Linked DNA regions of Schizosaccharomyces pombe. The gene in region 2 interacts genetically with the main gene of each other region. Each region holds a gene or a part of one and is shown on either strand. Other genes may lie near its edges.

Region 1 (3,760 bases), on a different chromosome or scaffold from region 2:
ACTAGAAAAGCGGATATCAATCACGCTAGCAGATGGTCCAATAGAGAATAATTCAATAACCAGATAAACAGGAGAATTATGACATGTAATGCATGAAAACACTTTATACTTATTTTCCTTTAGAAAAGATTCCTCATCACAGGGCCGAAACCGAGCTCCTAACTCAAGTAAAGCCTCACATAGCTTTCTCAATACTTCAATTGGATTTTTGGCAGTTTGAATCCCATAATGCCAGCGTAAAGAACGAAGTCGGTTGGGGGCGGGAGGTCGGGATAATGGATGGTTGTAGACCTTATTCATGAATGAAGCATGTCTCTGTGGAAGAGAAGAGCGTAAAGTTTCAACGTTAGAAGGAATTGGTGGAATATCAGTAGGATCTAAAAATCCGGATGATTCTGCCATGTCAGAATGCCACGAAGTAGCCGAATACAAGTCCTCATACGACGAATAACATAAAGATGCGGGATCTGGATTAGGAGATTCAGTACCTGAAATGGACATTGGTTTTGACGGGGATAGGGCTGAGTGATCTGTGGGCTGAGGAATTTGACCTACACTACTGGAAGGCGAAGTTATGGAAGGGTCGAAAAGAATAGCAAGATCTGGAGGAGAAAAGGTGACAGATCGATGCTTGGAAGAAAAGGATGAAGTACGGGAAGGTAAACGGGAATGCGTGGGAAGATCAGCGATAAACCAAGGATGTTGCATTATTTCTGCAACTTTGATTCGTGAAGTAGGAAGCACCATTAACATTTGACGAATGAGATCTGAGGCTGAAGAAGATACAAAACTAGGAATGGTGTAGATTCCTTTACAAACGCGACTTAATACATTGGAGATGGTTACATCCTCAAAGGGAAACTCGCCGACGAGCATCAAATACAATAAGATTCCGCAACCCCATACATCTACATCACAACCATCATAATAACGGCCTTGAATAACCTCAGGAGCAGCATAATGGGGAGTACCGCAAGAGGTACTCAGAAAGGAACCATCAAGCATAAAATTGGAAAGGCCAAAATCCGTGAGCTTGACAACCAGATCTTTATTAAGTAAAATGTTTTCCAACTTCAAATCTCGGTGAGCAACACGATGAAGATGACAATAATCGATGGCATGGACAATTTGTCGAAAAATCTTGCGAGTGGTACATTCATCCAGTCGATTATGCTTAACCACCATACTGTGCAAATCAGTATCCATATACTCTAGTGCGAGCACTGTGTACTTGGGAACCCGAAACACCTGGTATAGGGTGATAATGTTTGGATGGTGCAATTGCCTTAAGATTGTCACTTCTCTTTGTAAACGCTTCCACGTATCTTTATCTTCCAATTCATCATTGTAAACCATTTTCAATGCGACCTTTTCATTTGTTTGAAAATGCTTGCCCACTACACTGTTAGCCATCGTACAATTGCCAAAAACAAAATCAAAGACGATCGATGCGCAAGATAACCATGACACCTAAGTAGTCTATCTCTACTGTCTATAAGTAGTCTACTCTATCTTATTAACAAGCCCCTACAAGACAAAGTCAACTAAATTTCACCTCATGTACTTACATTTCACTTTGGCCAAGTTTCCTTGTCCCAAAGTCCTTCCCAAAAGCCAAGGCCCAACATAGGTGTTTCCTGAATCCTTTTCAGACTCTGCCGATGCAGAAGAAGGGGTTTGCATAGCAAGTCGAGCCAGCTGACTTTATAGGATGAAATTCGTTATTCGTGTATATAGGTGGTTAGCATGTGCATGTTGCTGCATACCGTCCGACTTAAACATGATCCGCGCATCTGATGCTAATTTGTTAGCGATAAAAAAGGTGCACGAGGCAAAGTAGTGTGATTCAAAGCAACCTTGTAATAAGATTATATGGCGTAACGTGCTATCTTTTGGTAAACATCTCCACGGCGACATTGCAGACAACGCTAGCGTTCGATACGAGCAACCAATCTGCACTTTATTTAATTAAGGTACGCGGTCTATGGGTTATCAGATGCATAGGTATGTAAATTTTGTGTTATGAAATGGAAAATCGAGCTGGTATTGTGTTATGGGAAATTATGCCAATTTTCAAAGTTTATGAGTACATGGGAACTCTCTATTTACCCTCTTCCATCATTAGATCCGTCCCAACTTCTAGCCAAAATTTTTTGCACAATAAGCTACAACAATACAGCCGTGATAATGATAAAATTAGTAAAAGCAGTAATAGAAATACTCAAAGACAATTAAATAAAAAATTACAACAGCTAGATTTTTTGACTACAGAAAACATTTGATTTTCGGTTTAATCCCAAAAACCCGCATTATTTCGCACGATGCCATCAATGCTAGTAGACAAACATAAAACCGCATATTACAGACCGTGCGAATGTTTTTGTATAGCTATTTTTTAATGTAAAGTATATTTTGCCATATCTGAAATAGCCCGATCGAGGCATCCCAAGTACACACTACGGAAAGTGATAAGTGCAAAATTTTCTTTGTATCCGTTTACATACTGGCATACCTATTGCCGCTACCAGCCCTTTGTTTACTACTTAAGTATACATTACATTAGGTGGCCGCCAAAAAACCGAACGTTCCGCATCGGTAAAATACCTTGGAGTCATTCGCCCGAAAATCCCGAAACCGAAAATCCATCTCTTACCACATACGTTTAGGCAATTATTTTATTCCTCTCCAGTCATCAATTGAAAAAAATAGGCTTTCTAAGTTTTGCAATTATCACAGTAGAAGTCCATGAGTCAACATGGAAACTGTGGAGATACGAAGTAAGAGTCTGTTGATACAATGGCTCACGGTGGAATCGAATTCCTTACTGAGTTGGCAACTGCATGTGAAACGGAAAAGCATAAAGTTTGATATATATCATAAAAAGAATGACACATCTAGCTTGCTAGATGGATCCAACAAAAACACCGATCGTTCCATCCTGCATACAAAGCGTCAACACACTCACGAAGCTGGTATCAAGAAGTTGAGTGCTGCTGGGTTAGAATTATTTTATCAAGGAGAGCGATGTATGTCGGAAAAGCCTAGTGAGGGCTCTGTCTACATTGAGAATGGAGGACTTTATGCCTTCGTGTTTGATAACACTTTTTCGAAAACAAAACCAAAAACTGTGACCTTCCTCTTGACCGCGCAACCATACAACGGTCCGAGAATACCAAATGCATCAGTCCATGGCTCTCCTAAACAAATTATTTCTGGAACCTTGCTTAAAAAGCGCCGAAAGAAGGGCCAAGGCTATGCTCGACGTTACTTCACTCTCAACATGGTGGAAGGCACGATCTCATACTATGCTAACGAAAATTCTTCGGTAATGCGCGGTAAAATTCCCTTGAGCATTGCTGTGATTAGCGTTGCTGCAGAGACGCATGAGATCAACGTTGATTCAGGCGTAGAACTGTGGAACCTACGAGCACATACTCACCAAGATTGGCTACGTTGGTGCAATGCTTTGGAAAAGGCGAAAAATAGTCAAACTTCTTCAAAGCTCGTAGTAGACGAAAGGACACAAGAATCGTCATCCAATCAGTTAGTCTCTATTTACTCAAGACTACGTGAATGCCTGGATATTGCTCAATTGTATCGCACCAGTCGTATCAAATCGGCTTCAAGTCATAATTTTTCTGTCCCTGAGATCCGTATACAACTTCCCGGTGATGCCAAAGAAAACAAGGAAACCCGTACTTCAGTGGAAATTACTGCTGCTGAAAACGCGCAAGCTGCGGTTACTTTACGCAAGGTTACT
Region 2 (2,813 bases):
TGCGTTTGCCGCTTTATATCTGAAAAGTAGTGCTGATGAATTTTTGGATGCACTTCATGTGGTTGATGAGTATCAATTACTGCTTTTGGGAAAGCAAGTGGCTATGGAAGTAAAGCATTTAATGTTTCCTAATGACAAACCTTTGGAGATGGAGTTCCCGTCCAGCTCTCAACCTCAGCAGACTGTACCTACCAATAACTCGTTATTTTTATTGAAGAATATACCATCATTTGGAGGGTTACACCACTGTATTTTGGGCCGCTATTCTATTTCCCTTGATGATTTTGTTTTGTGGCTTTTAGATAGGGCTCAAAGGCTACAGCAAGCAGTTAGAATAAGTCATCCTTCGACCACATTTTGTTCAAATGTGGAAAATGACATTAAAGAAATATTTGAGGTTTGTAAAGACTATTGCATGCTTCATGTTCAAAACAATTTGAAAGCATTTGAAGAAAAATTATGGGCCGCTTGTAAAGACTTCCTAGTAACATACTAAATAAAATTTATTATTCTCGAAACAACGACTTGCTTTACAAGTGTAAAGTCTCTTATATTCAAATCAACAACACGGGGCACCAGTGGTACATTAACATTTAAAGTAAGCTAAAATTACATTTATCAAACGAAAAATACTATTACGAATGGAGCACTAAAAAAAAATTGGTAAAATAAAACCAACACGGCGATTTATTTTTATGAAAGCGTAATGAAAACAAGGGATCATTTGGTTTAGTCGAAAAGACCGAAACCCATCTAAAATTGTTAGTAAGATGCTTTTGAGAAACAAAGAATGCTTCTTATCTAAAATTAACTTACGTCTTCATCAGATTCCTCCTCTTCCTTGGCTTCCTCCTTAGCAGCCTCCTCAGCAGCAGGGGCAGCACCGCCAGCAGCGGCGGCAGGAGCAGCAGAAGCAGCACCACCAGTGGGGACAGTAGCAAGCTTCTCGTTACCAGCAGCGATGAGCTCGTCGATATCCTTACCGTTAAGCTCGTTGATCAAAGTTTCAATGCGCTCAGATTCAGCTTCAATACCGACAGTAGACAAAACAGACTCGATATCAGAAGCGGAAGGGGAGTCCTTTCCACCAACGGTCAAGAGTAAATAAGCTGCAAGGTACTTCATTTTGACGAGGAGTGCAGTGCGTGTTGATGGCAGAAAGTATTAAGCATTCACAACACTAAGGGACTCGAAACTTTTGTGACTGGTTTTCGAGTTAGGTTAGGGTATGTGTTTGAGTGGAATGCTGCGATGATTTCTAAGGTTTGTTATATTCGTTTAGTTGACGAGCACGATATTTACAAGCTTTTTCTACAAGTTCAAATCAACCTAAATAGTTGTTAGTTAAGGGCGTGCTAATTATTTTTATAATAGTAAGAAAACCGTATGCACAAAGAGGCATAATTAATGTCATACACGTATTTGAGTTTATCAATGGGAATTGAAACAAACATATTAATGTTTGGTAAACTGACGGTTTAAATATAACTTCAAGTGCTTAACTTACTGGCCGAGACTTGAAATAGCTGTATAAGCTATTGAATAAATTTTCTCAATTGTCTTTACTTTCATTTCATTCCTCCTATTATGGGTAACAATGGGCAATTGTTTTTTTTTCGTCTTTTTTTATAGTAATGTCAGCGGTGCCCATGTTAACAAATGTTTCAATCTACAAAACCTAATTATCGCTTAATTTAATTTTAGATTAACTTAATCGAAAACACGTATAACGATAAGACGATATACTCGTAATTGATAAATGACGGATTCTTCTCCAATAATTTTGTGTTTAGAAAAAAAAAATTTCGCACGGTTGCGAAATCTTTATGGCTGTCAACATTTTATTCATATTTGGGACAATTTGCAATTTTAAGCCAATCGTATCCGGTTTTTTGTTAACTGCGAAGCCGTCAAAACTATCCGTAGGTAGTCCCTTGCAAAGATCTAGCAAAATAAATTACATTATATAATAGATAAACCAATAAACCTTACCTACTCGACGGACGGGACGGCTTGTTATCGGAGTATTAGCTATACATCAAAGTTCATCATCATAGCTTTGCTCACATCACAAACGTTTCCATTTTTGTCGTGTGGTATAAAAACGTATCATGCTCCCACCATTCGGTGCTTTGACAACTACAAAAATTCCGCTTCCAAAAACCATACTCCAGTCTACCTTTAACCAAATAAAAAGTAGCAGCTACTCGATAATAGCGGCTCCGCGGTTAACATCGAGATTCATTCGTTTTCCTTGTAATTATAATAGTTGTTTACAATCCATATCTTTTTCATCGCTTGGAAGAAAAAGATTGTTTTTTTCGTCTAGTCAATTGTTAGAGAAAAGTGATAAAAAAAAGAAAATGCCTGATAGATTGAAACGTCGTATTGAGGAAATCGATCATCAAGACGAGATAATCGACAGAGAAGCTTCAACCGCTTCTCCCGTTTCTGGCGCTGGTAAAATTGACCAGAATGGGGAAATCAAAGATTTGCTTGAACGCAATCTGACTTGGTCACAACAAACTAGCAGAAAGTACCCATCCTTTTTTACAGCCACCAAAGATATTCAAACTCCTCAAGTTCTTTGGATCGGATGTTCAGATTCTCGTGTTCCTGAGACCACCATTCTGAATTTACTTCCAGGTGAAGTCTTCGTTCATCGAAACATTGCCAATGTCGTTCCTCGTTCTGACATTAATGCTTTAGCTGTTATGGAGTACTCCGTGACCGTATTAAAGGTTAAGCACATCATTGTCTGTGGCCATTATGGATGCGGTGGTGTCGCTGCTGCTCTTGGTCCTAATTTAAAC

Evidence for each region. Genes that interact genetically often act in the same process or in processes that back each other up.
Region 1: mutations in rpp201 (region 2) and ppk9 together harm fitness more than expected from each alone (negative genetic interaction), as found in Schizosaccharomyces pombe (one large-scale study listed by BioGRID).

The regions. Positions count from the first base shown.
Region 1 is NC_003424.3:1,605,407-1,609,166, forward strand, and holds the start of ppk9 (serine/threonine protein kinase Ppk9), read right to left. Parts: upstream 1,744-3,760; 5' UTR 1,684-1,743; coding exon 1,569-1,683; intron 1,398-1,568; coding exon 1-1,397. Other genes in the region: sterol transfer protein Osh3, read left to right, coding at 2,756-3,760.
Region 2 is NC_003423.3:3,641,501-3,644,313, reverse strand, and holds rpp201 (ribosomal protein P2), read right to left. Parts: upstream 1,154-2,813; 5' UTR 1,126-1,153; coding exon 817-1,125; intron 754-816; coding exon 730-753; 3' UTR 661-729; downstream 1-660. Other genes in the region: histone lysine methyltransferase Set6, read left to right, coding at 1-496; nce103 (putative carbonic anhydrase), read left to right, coding at 2,364-2,813.